Linked DNA regions of Caenorhabditis elegans. The protein of the gene in region 1 interacts with the protein of each later gene in a pairwise test. Each region holds a gene or a part of one and is shown in the gene's direction. Other genes may lie near its edges.

Region 1 (6,771 bases):
CAAACTAATAGTAAAATATTTCAAGTTAAGGTTTTATTTCTGCGTAATCCACTATTTTTATCTTTTCTTGATTTTCCCTTTCATACTTTCACTCATTGTTTATTATTCGTGTCCCCTCGTCTCCGTTCTTCGACTGGAAAATCTGTAAGAGGGTCCAGCTGTGGTCTCCGGTGTACGGCACTCAACATGTCTCCTTGTGTATCGCTGCCAGTGCTGTCTATGCATTTATTATGAAAATAAAACAATTAGGCACATGGAAAAAGGCTTTATGTTCCTATAGCTTTTGGTTCACGGAGACCTAGTCTACGGCGCTGTTCGTCGATTGAAACTTAAATTTTAAATAGTAGTTTTCGGCATCATAAAGTCGCTATTAAGGCTGTCAGACAATTTAAGTTTTTATGCAATATTTTAAGATTTTAACTCAAACGCCGCCTGTGATCAGATAACTCCGACTACTAGAATATCTGCATGGTTCTGATCCTCATCATGATTTAAAATTCGAATCGACACGCAACGCAAGTAGCCGCCGACCCTCGTCTTCACTGTCGCTGCCCCCTGAACGATGGGGCTCTCCTGTTTCGGCTACTGGCTGCCCCTGGCTACTACTACCCCTTTTCTGCTATGCCCATGACCTTCTTCTTCTCCTCGCCCTCGCTTTTCTCTCTATTTTCCTTCTCCAACCCCACCATCCTGCTCGCCGTCGTCGTCGCAGTTGCTCCCCCATTTTTTTGCGCCACGCAAAAAAAAAAGAAAAAGAAGGACGACGACGACAACGAAGAAAGAGAAGAAGCAGAAGCAGTGAAAACGGAAAAATCGAAGACGTTGTCGTCTATTTTTTTGCTTCTGTTCTTTACAAATTATCTATTTTCTAACCTTTTTGTGGAGAACGTTGACCCGGCCGGAAGCATGTAGTAAAATTTCTTTTTGGTTGATTTTGCAAAACATGTTTATCCTCGATTAGCTGATTTTCATTTCGATTTCAGATTAAACCAATTGATTCTAAAATAGAAAACTGAATGAACAATCTCTGATCATTCTTGAAATATAACTAATTTAGTTCATCTGCAAGTTTAACAGTTAGTACATTTTTCTGTCGTAGATCAAGAAAAATTTCACCTTCGAATTTAGTACTCAAACATTGCAGGGATTCGAACATGCAAACGTTTTAACAATTTCCCCACTGACGCTGCTCCAAAGAAATCTGAGAGAACGTCTGATTTGAAAAAATGTTTGCGCAAAAATTAGAAAGGCCCTGTTTAGAGTATTGTAGGTTGCATATTTCTACCACTAAAATAAATTAATGAAAAAGTAAGAAAATTCAATAAAAATTAGTCGCCTTGACGACGTGCACCCTCTATTTTCCTCATTCGTCATTTTTGTCATCTCCTCTCATCTCATCTATATTCTGCCCTCGATCCCTCATCCATCCATTTCTTCATTCTCCATCTCACTGTGTCCCTTTTTTTCGCTCGATTGCTTTTTCTTTTCCTTATTTTTTAACCCGCTATAACTTACTTCGATTCTAATTTTTTCAATTTATTTTCAGCGCTGAGCTGCACCACATACAGTGAGTGAGTAGAGGATATCAAGTGGAGACCGCTACCGGGGCATAGGGTCCACCGTTCATCAACTCTAGCGCCATGGGTTGTACCATGTCACAGGAAGAGCGTGCCGCTCTTGAAAGATCACGAATGATTGAGAAAAATCTTAAAGAAGACGGCATGCAAGCGGCAAAAGATATCAAACTGCTGCTACTTGGTGCAGGAGAATCAGGAAAATCGACTATTGTAAAACAGATGAAGTGAGATTTTTTTAAATTTCTAAATAACAAATTAAAACATATATAAACGAAAATGGTAGAAATAAATGGTGAAAAACTCAGAATTTATCATCCGAAATTGTCCCATAGAACGTCCGAATATTTCGTTTGATCGATTTGAATTATTAAAAATTAAATTTAATTAAAAAGTAAATAAATCACTAGAGACTGCTATTAATTTTTTTTTCGTATTCAAAATTTGAAAAGTAAGTTCAACTCTCTAATAGTTTAAATTTGAAACACGCCTTTACAAATTTTCACATTTTAATGTTTTTTTTTCAGAATTATTCACGAATCGGGATTCACAGCAGAAGACTACAAACAGTACAAGCCGGTTGTCTACAGTAACACGGTTCAATCATTGGTCGCTATTTTGCGAGCCATGAGCAACTTAGGCGTTTCATTTGGTTCGGCTGACAGAGAGGTGAGTATTATGACAATTTTTCTGCAAAAAAATCGAAATTATTTAAAAATGAGGCACGAAATTTTCAAGTGATCCCTTAATGGAAAAAATTAATTTCGGTCCATTAGCTGCTAATGATTAGCACGACAAAAACGTTACTTCAAAATAAAACTTATTTTTCTGAAATTTACTTGCGATTGTGATCTATAGATAGAACATAAACATTATTCAATTAAAAATGTTTCCCGTGTTCTGAAGAGTAATTCGAAATATTTGGAAAATAACGAATAAAAAGATACGAAAAACGAAGAGCATGAGAATAAATGACATAATCTGTTGTATTCATTGGCTCGGTATCTTTTTCTCTCTCTCTCTCTTACATTCTGCAACTCTTATTGCCTCTCGTTGCACTCAATGCATCCCGCTACCACACCACCGTCCCATTCCAATTCCCTTGTGAGTTTCGATGCGCGACGCGCCACCGACAAACTCGTAGACTCGACCTAGTATTCCAAAAATATATGTTCGAGGCAGGAATTTTGAATTGGGATTTGGAAGGGATTCTAGAATGTTGGAAAATCTTTGGGAACACATTTTCGATTGATGTGGCAAATCATCAGAAAAAAATGTTCCCAACGTTTTGGAGAAGATTTTACATCATTCAGACGTCAAATGTTTTGTTATTGCGTCACAAATGCAATTCCCGGTTTTTATACGATGAATTTGTGTTCAATGCAAGAAGGTGTGCGCCTTTAAAGAGTACTGTAATGTTTAATTTTCGTTGCAGCCAAATTTTTAATCGATTTTTCATAGTTATTCAATAAAAACGTATTCATTTATTTTAAAAATTAATAAATAACAATCAAATATTTACGAATTAACTTTAACAAATCGTAAGAATAAATATAAACATATTTTAGCATTCAACAAAAATTTGTCGTGTCGAAAACGTAAAAAAGTTTTTGATGTGAAGATCGAACATTTATCATTCAATTTTATATATATCCTTAATCTTAACAAGACGTGACTATGCATGTCACCGAATATAAAGTAATTTGAGATAATTGAAATAAAATGACCATTTTGAGACCTTTGGACAAACCATTGGAAGAGAGCCAAGGATCCAATTTCAATTTTGTGAGAAAATTGGGAAAATGATGTACATGACATGCTGTGAATTATTCAATTTTCATCAGCGAATAAAGTTATCGAGAACTAAAATCAAAGTTTTTTGTTTCAGGTAGATGCAAAATTAGTGATGGATGTGGTGGCACGAATGGAGGACACAGAGCCATTCTCAGAAGAATTGCTCAGTTCAATGAAACGGTTGTGGGGAGACGCAGGTGTACAGGATTGTTTCTCAAGGAGTAACGAGTATCAATTGAATGATTCAGCCAAATAGTAAGTTTAATTCAAAATTTTGAAAAATTATTTCAAGTAACTATTATCTCCATAACAACCAAAGTGGTTTTTTTCATAAATTGAGAAGAGTTTCCTAAATTTCGAATCAATATGTTACATGTCAAGCTCATTTTCAATATTACCAAATTTAAAATTTCAAGAAATTTCGCAGTTTATAGAATTTATTAATAACCATTTTTTCAGTTTCCTTGACGACCTGGAAAGGTTAGGAGAGGCAATATATCAACCAACTGAGCAAGATATTCTCCGAACTCGTGTCAAAACAACTGGTATTGTTGAAGTTCACTTCACATTCAAAAATCTCAATTTCAAGTGAGTTTTCTTGATAAAAAAATAATATTTAATAATGAATATTTACAGATTGTTCGATGTGGGAGGTCAAAGATCAGAAAGGAAGAAGTGGATTCATTGTTTCGAAGATGTTACTGCTATTATTTTCTGTGTTGCCATGTCAGAGTATGATCAAGTGTTGCACGAAGATGAGACAACAGTGAGAAATTGATATTTTAATATTTTAGAAGCTTTTTTGTTGAAAAAGACAGACAAAATTTAAAATTAGAAAATATCGTTTAGAGACTTTATGTTTTTTAAACGATTTTCCAATCATGACTTGGTCGTTCGAGTCGACTTTTACAATAATAAAAATAATGTTCTTCTTCTAATTTTTCTAACGAAAATGCAACTTCTGACCGACAATATATTTGCCAAAATAAAAGAAACATGATAATTTAAAAATTACTCGTTTTTTTAAATTATATTCTATTATTCATTCTATTATTCATTATTCATTATTATTCATTATTGTTCCTTATTTCATATTTTCAGAACCGAATGCACGAATCGCTGAAGCTGTTCGATTCGATCTGTAATAACAAATGGTTCACAGATACATCGATTATTCTGTTCCTGAACAAGAAGGATCTGTTTGAAGAGAAAATCAAGAAAAGCCCGTTAACGATCTGCTTCCCAGAATATTCAGGTAAAATTTAATTGAATTTCCAATAAATGTTTTAATTTCTTAATCCCTGTAGGACGACAAGACTACCACGAGGCATCTGCGTATATTCAAGCACAATTTGAGGCTAAAAACAAATCAGCGAATAAGGTAAGAAAAAAAAGTCTAAAAATCAATGAAATCAGAGAAGCCTATGGGGTTCCTGTTCCACGAAAAGTATAAATTGTTTTTCTAGAATAATATTTTTTATAATTTTTAATATCTAGTTAATTTTGGAAATTTTTTGAAGTGTGAAACATTTATAAAATTTAATTTTTTTTAAGTAAACACGAATATTCAATTGTTTTGTTAATCTGTCACAGAAAATGATAACCAGAAAAATCTCTGAATCGTATTCAATTAAGTAATTACAACCAAAATTTGAGATTTTTACTATCTCGACATTTTCTCCGATATTGCGGTTACTGTAGTTTCATATTTGAATAGGTAGTTAAAGTTGAGTGTTGAGGTAATAATTTTAATTCATTATTTCATTTAATTTGTTTTCTTTTGAAATAATATTCTTATTTGCAGGAAATCTATTGCCACATGACATGTGCCACAGACACAACTAACATTCAATTTGTGTTTGACGCTGTCACCGATGTGATTATTGCCAATAATCTTCGTGGATGCGGCTTGTATTAAGCTGTCGTCTTCGCCGCCCTCTTCTACCATTCTGTGTGTATCTTTGCTTACTTTTCCCAAATTTTTAAAGATTCGTTATTTTTCTCATCCCCCGAGTATGCATCTATAATTTGAGAGCTTTACATGTACATTATGGTTGCAACTGTTTTTATTTTTTGGAAAAAGTTGCAATTTCAGATGTATATGGGCTTTTTTTTAACCTCTGATTCATTCATAATAGTCTCACCGCCCTTCTTTTTCTCAACTAGGATCCCTAATTTTTCTGTCACAAAAATAACACATAAAACTCACAATTATTTATTTTTTCCTTTTTTCTTATTTATTATATATTGTCATTATTCACGCCACATCCCCCGCCCTTCTCACTCCCGTGTAGCCTTATCGCTATTTGAAAACAAGAAAACTTTAAAAATCTAAATTCAGTTGGAATTCGTCCCGTTCCGCCACACACCCCCTAAAGGTCTCTTCACCCCGAATTATAAAGCTTTGCCCCTTTTTTCTTTCTTTTCTCCCATTTTTCAACACACCTAGTCACTGTTAACAGTTAAATAATGGCAGCTTTTGTCTATGTTTAAAGATTTTATTTTTAATTTTTGGTATTTTTCTATTTCTACTCTTCCCCTCTCATCCATTTTCCCTCCTTTTCCTAAAACCACACTTCCAAACTCATTTTTCTCGCTGTTTTCCTCTCCCTATTTTTTCTTTTACTTTTTCATTTTTCCATCTTTTTTCTTTAAAATCGTCTCGCTTTTTGTCGGTGAGCACGATGGTGTGCAGTAGACGATATTTTCCGCATTGGTTTATTGTCGACTGCACCCACTCATTGATATCTTATTTGATATAAACGACATCCTCAACTAGTTTTCGTACAAATTCAGTTTGGTGGATACAAAAGTACAGTGATTTAGTTTGCATGGGAAATTGCATATGGGACTACCGTACATATGTCTAGATAAAAAACCAATATTTTTAAAACTCGATAAAATTTAAATTTCCCTGAACTCCTTTTTGAATAACCACCAAGAAGTTTAAACCTCGCGCGCGAATTTAAAATTTAATTGTTATTTTGAATTATTAGCATGGTTTAAAACAATTTCCCCATCATTACCAAGATTTAAAAAAATCAAAACCTATTGTTATAACATCAAAAGTGGGAAACCCCAAAAATAGTCTTCAGATAATGATTTTCTCAAGATAAATGACCCGGAAGTGAGTGTTACTAAAGCGAAAAACCTTCCAAATGTCAAGTTTCATTAAATTTTACAACAATCATCTAAAAATGTGTCCTTTTTGTCACACAATTGTGTTCATTTTCCATCAGCTTTTCCCTCCTCCTCCCACTATGTGATAAACTTTCACTTTTTCTGTTCATTTGCCAAAAAAAAGAGAATATCTCATACACTTTCCTATCTTCTCTTTTAATTGAACTATTATTCTATTTCATGAGAAATATGAGATTATGTCATTCAATTATTTTATTTAATT
Region 2 (6,133 bases), 290 kb from region 1:
ACCGGAAAAGAATACAAAAAACAATTTCTTCGTCCTAAAAAATTTAAATGACAACGCATACAGTACATAAGAATGGAGATCGCTGCGAGACCCACTCAGTGTTAAAACGAACGCTCCTTGAATTTATTTTTGCTGTACAGCCTTATTTTTCTCCTTTTTACAAGTATTGTGTGCTTTCCATGTTTTAAAAAGTGACTTAGTTGTTAATTTTATTTTGAATGATACTCATCTAATTCAGGCTTGTAGCTTAGATCGCAATGAAGTTAATCGTTTGCAACCTATGTGGATTCCCGCCAGCAAGAAGGCAATTTTACATCACCACCTGCTCTCACATCTTGTCGAACAACGCAGACTGCTGGATTTTGTTATTTGTGTAAGGTCCCTACGAAAACTCTTAAAATAGATGGAAATCTGCCGAAAATGTGCGGAAAATGTTCAGCGCTGTACATCCCGATTCGCGACGTGACTGTAAAAAGTACAGATATTCTCAAACGTCTCACCAGAATTATTGGTTTTTAAAGTATTCAGAATTCAATTTATTAGGAAAACGAAAAATAAAAGGTAATTTTTTGCACTTGTTTCATGCAGAAGAAAAAGTTTTATTTCAGTCGGTGATGCTAAAAGATCAAACGGCGAAAACAGAGAAAAGGACACAGGAAATCACATGCCAACTGTCGAAGCTAGCCAATTTTGAGGAAAATAATCGAAAGAAGCTTCAAGATACTGAACGCGAGAACAAGAAGCTTCGAAATTTGTAAGTAGTTTCTGCACGAGATTAAATTTAACATTTTTTTTCTATTTTAGAATCAATTCCCTTGAACTGAAACTTGTCAGTTCTCCTGTTATCGACAATAACGATTTTTTTATTCAAGGAAAATCTACCTCTTCAAATCCTTTTTTTTTTAATCTCGGAAAATGACGAATTGCTCGAACGTGTATTTCACTTCCATTGTGCCACCTTCACCAAATTGTCAGACTTCCAACTTCTTTTTTTTCCAACACCAATGTATGTTGCAAATGAGTACGCGAAGAGTGGTCGTAATTTGTGGAATGAAGCCATGTGAGTTTAAGAAAATGACAACAGTTGATATTAAAATATTTTTGCAGCATTGCGGATGCAATTCCCGAAGTTTCTGGACCAGAGGCAGCTCGTATGAAGCAGATTACCGATAGCATCAAATACAAGGAATCCGGCTTCCTGATCGACCGTCGTGTCAATGCTTCAGCACTAATAATTCAATCAAATTGTAGTATTTTCAATTCCAACTTCTAGTTTGTGAGAAGCATACCATGATTTTTTATTTGTATCCCACCCTGTCATTCTTGTTTTTGCGTTACATACAATGCGTATCTAATAGTAAGTGGTGTAACTGCTAATTTCATTTTCCCCCGTTGCCCTATTATTGTTTTGACCTACGTGGAAATTGATTTTTTGTTGTTGTTGTTGAGTGCAGATTATAGAATGTAGCCTGTTGTTATGTTAAGTTGTACGTGCAATGTTGTTGTAGTCTCCTTAAACCCATAAAAATCATAAAACTTATTTCAGTTTTAAGTTTGAAAAATCGGGATCACCAAAATAATATTTCTTTCGCTTTTTTGGTTTTGAACAAAGTTTTAGATTGGGAAAATTTTCAAAAAACCAATACATGGAAATTTTATTTTTTTTGTTTTTTTGTTATGGAATACCAGTGTTCTCCGTAGAGCGCACTTTCATTTATATTTTCGGCGCGTTATTTATTGTTTCAAACCAACTCTTTGCATTTTGCGCTACATTATATAACGTTTTAATCAATTTCCACTTTTTTTTGCAGAATGCCTCCTAAACCCCGAATAAAAGTGCCAATATCGCCCGGGAAAAAAGCTCGAAATAATTTTGCCCGACGAAATCGTCAATTGTCAAGCGTAATTATCACAGAATGCCCGATCGACTTTCCTGAATATGAGTTTTCAAAAAATCCGGCGCTGTTTAAGTCGTTTAATGATAATCCAGAGTTCAAACCGTATGTTAAAAATTGTTTTCAAAGTAACAAAATTTAAAATTTCTTCAGAAGCAAAAAGAAGAATAAGCCAAAACCAGTGTTCCCACCATCTCCAAATGTCAGTGATGTCGAAATATCAAGTGATGAGGAAGATGCTGGACAATTTAAAGTGCCTGATGCAGATGCTGATGAAGAAGAAAAAATTAAGAAAATCGTTAGTATTTTGTTTACTCCTTTTAACGTTGTAAACGTGGAGTGAATGCAAAAATAACATTTGAATGTTCGAGTTTTGAAAATAATCTAATTTTTTCAGAAGGAAGCATTTGATTCATTGGATGATGTTTCTCTCGAAGTCTTCAATAATGATGGAATTAGAGTAAAAATAGAAAATGGAAAACATATTATTCACGATAAGCAGCCTGAAGAAGCATGGCGGCCAGGTATTCGAGAATATCACGATGGAAATTTCCCAATGATGAATAGTTAGTCCAGAAAACATCAAAAGGTTTATTAATTATAATTTCAGAGCCAGCAAAGAAAATAGATTTCGCGAAGAAAATGGAACAAAGACAAAAAAAACCAGTTAAGCAGGTTCCAGAGATGAATTCCAAAGCAAACCAAGTTCAGTGTCCAACAAATTATGCATCATTTTGCGGTTCAATTCTAGCAGATCATATGAGACAAAACAAAAGTTAGTCACATTTTTCAACTTGATATTTAGCAATTTTCATTATTTCAGAAGCATCTTTGGCAGCTCCATCATTGTTCAGGGTATTTGGCACACCTCAAAGATCGAAGATGATCGTGCCGGCGAAACATGTCCAGTGTCAGGATGAGCGTCTCGCTATTTATAGCTGTACTTTTGAAAACTGGAAATTATTTTCAAATTCATTAACCTTTTTTAGACACCCCGATTCGTGTGAACAAAACGGCGAAGCAACTAGACGACACGATCGGAAGCATTGTCTTCTCGCCGAAAACTCAGAATGCGAGTACTCCGATTGAAAAGCAGACAGCTGGAAGAAGACCCAAAAGCTTCCCAGTATTTGGTATTTTTTTAAACATTTATATAACTTTGCTATAGATTATGTCTTTCATTTTAAAAAGTCATAGTCAATAGTTACACTGAAAATTAATTTTAAAAAATTGTTTCAGATGTTTCCCTCAATGATTCTTGCGAGAATATCACGAAAAAAGAAGAACAAATCGCACAAAAATCTGCAAATTCTGATCAAAAAGAGACTACCATCAACAATATCCCGATCGAAGAGGAATACAGTGGAAGAGTTCATGGTAATTTCAATATTACTCATTTTCTAATATTTTCTATTTTAAAACTCTATTTAGAATTTTATAAGCCCTAAAAAAGTTTTCCACAGTGCAAAAAAATGTATTCACAATTCTCACAAACCAATTAAATATTTATTCCTAATCCGTTGTCTTTGTAGAATCATCATTGGCTGGAAGTATACAACAACCACAGCAAGATCTTGAAGAAACTGCAATCTCCGAAAATCGTCTCTCACATTCTACACTGAAAACCACGCCAATCGAGTCCCGGAACGAAAGTCACCAAAATTCAAAAATCATGACCCAGCAGGTCTCAGACTCAGAAGATGTTGAAGATGTCACTTTTAACCGAAAAGCTGAAACGTCTGTTACGGAACTATTGCACGAGGAGGATGAGCATGAACGATGCTCAGATCTAAATCTCGAAGAAAGCAAATATTCGAAAAAGCGACAAAGAACAAAGAGCCCGGAGACAATGTGTCAAGGCATGAGCACTGTGATGACGATGCAGGATGATCAAGACGATCTAGAAGCTTTATTCGAAATTGAAAAAGAGAATGAAATAAGAAAAAGAACAACTCTTCAACCCCAACAAAGGCAACGTGACAGAGAATCTCGTGTCTCACGACTTTCAGTAATGTCTGCAGCTTCATCTCGTCACGATTCCATAAATAGTGCCATGGAGGAGATGAGCTTACAACAATTTTTAGAAGACACGATGGGAGAAGAGTTTGGAAAAACTCAATATTCAGAATCTCGTGCAGAATCTAGAAATATTCCTACTGGTATGACGATTCATAATGAAGATCCGTCGATACTCCCATTCTACTTGGAAGATCTAACTTCGGAAATCGATCCATCACCGATGATGCAGCTCCTTCATGTTGTTGGTCAAAAAGAATCAAAAACGTGGGATAGTCTACCGAAGTCGGCTCTCGATGGTCGAAGAGTTAAGAAACTCGGCGAAGGAGCCTACGGTGAAGTCTTCTCAACAATATGGGATGGTAAACCGGTTGCTATCAAAATCGTCCCATTTGAAAAAGATGGATGCAATCGGCAATATTTCGGTGAATATCATTCTGAGGAAATGCAAACATCCGATGTCGTTCTGCCTGAAGTTATCGTAATGAAGGAACTATCGGCTTTGAGAGATGAAGATGCTTGGAATTCTACTCCAAATTTCATCGAAATGATTTCTGCCGAAGTTGTGATGGGGAAGTATCCTAAAGGATTGTTGAGTGCCTGGGATTCATACGACAAATTGAAAGAATCCGAGAATACAAGGCCAGATGTGTATTCTTCAATAGATCAAAACTTTATTCTTTTCGTTTCGGCAAATGGTGGAATCGCACTGGAAGATTTTGTCCTTGAAAGTGAAAATGAACTCTTTTCGATCATTCACCAACTCGTTCTTTCAATGAATGCAGCAGAAGCAGCTCTCGAATTTGAACACAGAGACTTACATCTTGGTAATGTACTGATTGATCGGAATGGCGTGAAAGAGCTTTATTACACTGTTCATGGGCAGAAAGTACCATTAAGTACCCATGGAATTAAAGTCAATATTATTGATTTCACATTGAGCCGAATTTCCAAAGGTTTGTCTATATTCAGAGAAATCGCCAATTTTTGAAAAAAAATTCTAATTTTAGGTGCGACAACTGTCTATTGGGACTTGGAAAACGACCCAGCAATTTTCGAGGGACAAGATGATCCACAATTCGAAGTATATCGAGAAATGAGAAAGAATTGCAAGTGAGTAATATATTCCTTAGGAAATAGAAAAAAATCAAACATTTCAGGAGCAATTGGAAGAAATTTTCGAGGCGAACGAATCTCATGTGGATTGTATACATTGCAAATCGACTGATTGATACAAAAATCTGCCCCAAGGGACTTCTTACCGAGAAACGGAGAATGGTTGGCACGAAATCAAGATAAATAATCGAAAACAACTATTTCAGGAGCTCAAAGTACTGTTTGACCGATTTGCCGAGTTTGGTTCTTGTGGAGAATCGTTGACCAATGAGGAATTCTTCAGCGATTTTTACGAGGGACCGATCGGAATGTCCACGACACGTCAATAATGTGCTCAGAATATGAGTATCAAAAAAATCCGCGGGTCTCAATAATCTAGATCTCGTTTCATATTTCCTGTCAAATATTTATTTTTTGAAATTTTAGTATTTACGATGTCTTTCATTTTCAGTTTAAAAGTGTTTCTAATATATAATTAAATCTTTTTTATTATTTTAAACAAAACCGTGCGATTTTTTAGAAACGTTCAGAAAAGTAAAATTTGAGACAAAAAAATAAATAACTAGTAGAAAGAGAAAGTTCAAGATTTAAAAAAATTGAAAATCCTAGGAATTCTTCTCAGTAACTTTTATTCAGCTTTGACTGCCTTCCTTTTCGGTTTCTTCTCAGAATCCAGAATCTGACGAACTTCTTCATTTGATATTCTCATGCCATCATCATCACTCTCTGAAAATATTATTTTATCAAAGGTTTCAATTTTTTCAATACAAGCATTATTTGAAGCTTGGTTACAGATCTTCGAAATTAGCGTTTTTAAAATAAGTTAATCTGAATTTTAATGATTCAGTAGCCATGCACATACCAGTAACCTCTTCAATAGTTGGTCCATCTCCACCACGGAGAGCTGTAAGCCATCTACGTTGAAATGGTCGAATAAGAAGTGGAAGTAAAAGTACAATAGCTCCCCATAATCCATTGAATAAAAGACGTCCAAATGCGTCACCAGTATACTTACTGAATGTTTCTGACCATGTTCTTGGACTTTCGAATTTTCGAAGATAGTCTTCGTGTTTTTCTCTGAAACAAATTTTTAATTTGAGAGAAAA
Region 3 (5,015 bases), on another chromosome or scaffold:
TGTGTCTCGCTTGGACCAGTGAGGAAGTCATGTCGACCTTTGTTGAAATAAATTATAAGTTTAGCAAATAAGCATCATGCAACAAAAAAATGACATGACTAAATGAAAAGAAGAAGAGATTGACTATTTAGAAAAAAAGTCGAACACGTCATTGCAAATTAAAAAAGATTTTTGACACATTGGGAAGTGTTTTCGAAGCAAACTAGAGCCCGAAAAAAAATAATACGATATTTCATATGTATATGAACGGCTCTCTTAAACAAGTGCGCAAAATTGTTACCTACAGAAAAACCTAACTCTTGTTTTTCTAATAGTTTTACTTTTAACAAATCGTAGGTTTTTCAATTACATAAAACTTTGTCTGTTTAAATAGTAGTACGTTGAAACTTGCATTCTTATCATACGGATTTTGTCTAAACAGTATTGATCCTAGGGTCTAAATTTCAATTTTAATAAAAATATGCTTTAGAATACTTTCGAAGAAAAACGATTTTTTTTTTAAATTTAAATGGATTTTTCATTAAGTAACATAATTGAGCATTTTGCATAACAATTTTTAACACTGTTATTTTCTAGTGTGCCTAAGCAGTTGCACGCGAATTTCAATTGGTTTCCAAACTTAATGACTGTTTTCAAATCAGCGCGGTTGAACGTCAAAATATGAATTTTCATTTCAGAGTTTTAGTGAAATGATGATTTCTAGTTTTGAACCTTAAGCTTACAGTGTTTTGGAGCTGAGAGAACCAAGAGAAAAGTGGTCAAGATGAAATAGAAAAAGAACAACGGTAGTTAGTTATTTTGAAGATTCCATAAAAGCTACTTAAAAACGTTCAGAAATAATTTTCTTGAAATGATTGTTACCACTCATTATGGGCTTAAAATTCTTACTGTTTCACAAACCGACCCAATAGTTACAAGCAAGTTTATTTGAAATTATAAACATTTTAAAATTCTAGAAAAAACTAAATGTTGTCACATTGCGTTAAAAAAAATCGGAGAATTTGTAATTAAACATTTTTACATTTACTTTCAGAAATATTTTAAGAAACTAAAAAATTGTTTTAAAAAACGGGTAACTATTTGAAAAAATGCAGCAAGCAGAATCGTACAGTTTCATTTATTGCTAGTTACTAAACTGAAAAAGGAAACTAGCCGTATCAGTCAGCAAAAATGACAGTTCCGAGGCAAAAAGCGAACAACGAAATTGACATGTGTTTGTTTCGAATTTGTTGAATGCAACGCTACGCATAAAATTGTGCTGTTTCATCAATTATCCCTCCGGGATCTCTCAAAACTTCGAACTATTCTCTAGTTGCTGACTGATCATTTGTGTCGAGTTATCACCAATTGTTACCAATCGAACATCTTTTCTAAGCCAATCAAATGACACGCTAAATATATGTTTTGATTCTCTTTCCCATTCAATGTGCCCCAACCCTTCTCTATTCTCCTCTCTTTCCGCAATACAGAGTGTTAGCAGAGAAAAAAAGGAAATACTACGACACTTCGCGCTCTTTGTTTATTGGTGTCGATTTACGATAGTAAGGTGACGTGTTCGATGCAAATATGGAATTTGTCAAATGATATCTTCAATATTTTTACTTTTTTTCCATAATTTGCTTTTTTTAATAAACCACATTTCCCCCATTTGTCTTGCACTCCTATTGTTTTTATTAAGTTTTCTATATTTACCGACATTGAGAAGTATAACTGTTTTTATTTCCAGATAATGATTAAGCCTCTAGTCATAATTGCTGTGCTACTAGTCAACGATGTCGTGTGTCCCCCGCCATTGAGACAACAAGCAGAGCAGGCCCAGGCTCAGGATAATGTTCAACACCAGGTATTTCTTTCATTTATTAACAATGTTTAGCCAAAAATAAATGCTACCACTAAATTTCGTCAGAAATATTCAATCACAAATTAAAATATTTTTAGCCCGCCACTGGAGACGCACAACAAGGACAAGGGCAAGCTCAAAACACAGAGCAACAAGGAGAATATGATGGTCGGCACCCAGTATGTTTTGAAACAATTTTGAGATAAACATATAAACTACTTGCAGGGATATCAATTCGCCTACACAAAATATTTGGAAGAAGTAGTGAAGATTCTTGAAAGCGACCCAAAATTTAATGAACGTCTGAAGAACATGAAAGAAGAGGACATCAAGGTTTTTTATTGCACATAATCTTTATCTGAGATTATATATTACAGGCAGGAAACATCGCCGATCACATTGACGACCTTCCTCAGGAAGTTTTTGACAAATTGCACAAAGCCAAGTTTGATGAAATCGAAAGACTCAGGAAGCAAATTGAAGAGCAAATCAAAGTATTTACTATTTATTTGATACATTTATAAAAATTAATATTATTAAATTTTAAGGCTGATGGAGGCGCACACAACATCAAAATGCCGGACCATCTTGATGTACAAGAGCTTGAAAAATTTCACAAGGAAGATTTGAGAAAGCTGATACAGAAGACGGTGGCCGATATGAACGTCATGGACGAGCAAAGAAAAGATGACTTCAAACAATACGAAATGAAGAAACAAGCTGAAGAAGATCACAAGTTGGCTCAAATGACTCCAGAAGAACGAGAAAAAGCAAAGTCTGAACATGAAGAGTCGCTGAAAAGACACAATGATCATGAAAAGCTGAAACACCCAGGAAGCAAAGATCAGCTTCAAGAAGTTTGGGAAGAAAGTGATCATGTAGGTTCTAATTTTACTCAGATTTACGACAACGACTGAACAGTTGTTTAAATAATACAACTTGGTTTGAACTCAATCAGCTTTTGTCGAATCTATATAGATTTTGACAGTAGACTTGATTTCGCTGTATAGGTTTTTTTTTTATGAAGAAAAAGAACATTATCGATTCTGGTTCAAGTGTTTATACATTGGAAAAGATTTGCAACAAAGATAAGATTGCAGCCAAAAATAATGGTTCTGATCGCTAAAAATGATAGTATTTACAGCATAGTCATTATCTTGAAAAGTGACAGTGTAACAAGGGAGCAAAGAGATTTTTTATATAATAATAAAATGAACATAATGTTTGAAAGCAAAATAAATCTGTGTTTTAGTATAAAGTTAAATATTTTCTATTAATTTTTCACTGAACAACTGAAAAACGTACTTTTATAATAGGTTTTAATAATGTTTTTTATTTGGAATTTAGCTATAACTTCATTATTTTAAAAACCATTTTTATCTCAATAAAATAAACTCCAATAACTTCAATTTTCAGCTTGAAAAAGATCAATACGATCCAAAAACCTTTTTTGCACTTCACGACCTGAACGGAGATGGTTTCTGGAATGATTTTGAGCTGGAATCTCTTTTCCAACTAGAGCTTGAAAAAATGTATAACGAAACCAACCCAGACGACGACATGAAAGAAAGAGCTGAGGAGATGTACCGTATGAGAGAGCACGTTATGAAGCAAATTGATGTTAATCAGGATCGCATGATCTCTATGCAAGAGTTCTTGAATGATTCTGACAATCAGAATTCAAATCCACCAAAGCAAGAAGAATGGGAAGATCTGGGACAGAAGAAAGTGTATACGGATGAAGAACTCCAGCAGTTTGAAAGAGAATATGCACAAAAACAAGGTTAGTTTGGGGTTTAATCCTAGCAGGCATTTTGTTCCATTTAACACTTTTCTGAGTTTTTACTAACACGCAGGCTTACTTTGATTTCAAATTATAAAGCTATTAAAACATTTTAAAAATGCAATAGTGATGCCTTACTTAGAATTTTGATTTTTAACTAGGATGGGGAGAACATGCATATGACCCACAACAAGTTGCTTCAGAACAACAACATCCGCAAGAAGCTGTCCAACAACCACCACAGGTATAAAGTTACTTAACATAGTAATGTAATCATTTGACATTTTCACAGGCTCAGCAACAAGTTCACCCTGCTCAACAGCCAATTCAACCGGTGAATGCAAATCCACCACCTGTTCAAAATGCGCAACCGCCTGTGCAACAGGTACCAAAAACTGACATTCAGAAAATCCAATAATTACTACCCTTTTTACAGCAACAACAACCTCCACAGCAACCACCGCAACAACCACCTCAACAAAATTTGCCCCCTGTGCACCATGAACCCATCCAAGATCACACTAAAGATCCAACATACGGAATTTAATTTATATCAGTTGTAGATTTCTAATTTGTTTTAAAATGCTAATGCTTTTGGTTGAGATAATATGTAACTTAATGTCGAAACCCGGGTTGTATACTTTTGAATAGGTTTTCAAACATTCAGAATTGTCATTGGCCATTTCTTGTCTGTCTATTCCTTTGTCGATTGGACCTGTTAATCCCAATTCGGACAAAAACTGCATATTATGAAATGAACGCATTTATCAGAATATTTTTATATATGAAAATAAGTAAATAAAAAACACTACCTCACCAATCTAGGATTGCAGTGCGAAAAAGAAAAAAAAACTTTTGGAGAGCTTTGCAGATTTGCGAATAGACAGCGTAAAACTTCAATTCAATAATTGGAAAATTTGAATCGAGTGAAAGAGTTAAACATTCGGAACATATAAAGAAAAACCTAATTTTAATTGGTTCCGTCACGGCAATCGTGAAAAAAGTCAAAATTTGTTTCAGCTTAAAAGTTTCAGCACTGAACCGAAATTATTAATTTCAAGAAGCAAAAACAAGAATCTCCATTGGTTAAGATGATACATTTGCGTTTGGAAATAGTTATTTTGTAGTTAGAATATCGCCCGCGAGCACAGTTTTATTGAAAATCTTGATTCTCACTGTTTTATATTTCAAAAACAATATCACTCGTCCTGTAATTTTCTCATAACCATAACTTCTTGTTTTCTAGCACAGTTAACGCATGAAGATGAAGCTCTTAGGAAAGTTAAAAGAATCATGCCTTCGTTTGGTCTTGAAAAAAATAAATCTTTCATAATGCATTAACATCTCCTAACGGAATAGCCAAAACTATTCTATATTGTTCAGTCAATACAG

The links.
Region 2: the proteins of goa-1 (region 1) and hasp-1 interact in a two-hybrid assay, tested with the Caenorhabditis elegans proteins (one study listed by BioGRID).
Region 3: the proteins of goa-1 (region 1) and nucb-1 interact in a two-hybrid assay, tested with the Caenorhabditis elegans proteins (one study listed by BioGRID).

What each region holds. Positions count from the first base shown.
Region 1 is NC_003279.8:7,520,570-7,527,340, forward strand, and holds goa-1 (Guanine nucleotide-binding protein G(o) subunit alpha), read left to right. Parts: upstream 1-1,546; 5' UTR 1,547-1,640; coding exon 1,641-1,801; intron 1,802-2,101; coding exon 2,102-2,243; intron 2,244-3,462; coding exon 3,463-3,623; intron 3,624-3,827; coding exon 3,828-3,956; intron 3,957-4,004; coding exon 4,005-4,134; intron 4,135-4,469; coding exon 4,470-4,623; intron 4,624-4,675; coding exon 4,676-4,749; intron 4,750-5,172; coding exon 5,173-5,286; 3' UTR 5,287-6,143; downstream 6,144-6,771. Other genes in the region: Zinc metalloproteinase nas-36, read left to right, coding at 6,738-6,771. UniProt on the Caenorhabditis elegans protein: Guanine nucleotide-binding proteins (G proteins) are involved as modulators or transducers in various transmembrane signaling systems. In the 1-cell embryo, probably together with gpa-16, controls nuclear rotation and spindle elongation during mitosis.
Region 2 is NC_003279.8:7,228,800-7,234,932, reverse strand, and holds hasp-1 (non-specific serine/threonine protein kinase), read left to right. Parts: upstream 1-1,811; 5' UTR 1,812-1,812; coding exon 1,813-2,000; intron 2,001-2,048; coding exon 2,049-2,193; intron 2,194-2,292; coding exon 2,293-2,461; intron 2,462-2,505; coding exon 2,506-2,670; intron 2,671-2,718; coding exon 2,719-2,835; intron 2,836-2,884; coding exon 2,885-3,028; intron 3,029-3,134; coding exon 3,135-3,272; intron 3,273-3,427; coding exon 3,428-4,867; intron 4,868-4,921; coding exon 4,922-5,024; intron 5,025-5,071; coding exon 5,072-5,189; intron 5,190-5,233; coding exon 5,234-5,356; 3' UTR 5,357-5,599; downstream 5,600-6,133. Other genes in the region: R06C7.2 (BEN domain-containing protein), read left to right, coding at 432-754, 805-829, 873-1,060, 1,108-1,273; C01H6.8 (Sensitive to high expression protein 9, mitochondrial), read right to left, coding at 5,656-5,753, 5,890-6,104.
Region 3 is NC_003284.9:10,195,980-10,200,994, forward strand, and holds nucb-1 (NUCB1-like N-terminal domain-containing protein), read left to right. Parts: upstream 1-1,726; 5' UTR 1,727-1,729; coding exon 1,730-1,843; intron 1,844-1,938; coding exon 1,939-2,019; intron 2,020-2,065; coding exon 2,066-2,173; intron 2,174-2,217; coding exon 2,218-2,334; intron 2,335-2,388; coding exon 2,389-2,718; intron 2,719-3,256; coding exon 3,257-3,623; intron 3,624-3,784; coding exon 3,785-3,867; intron 3,868-3,915; coding exon 3,916-4,008; intron 4,009-4,059; coding exon 4,060-4,170; 3' UTR 4,171-4,394; downstream 4,395-5,015.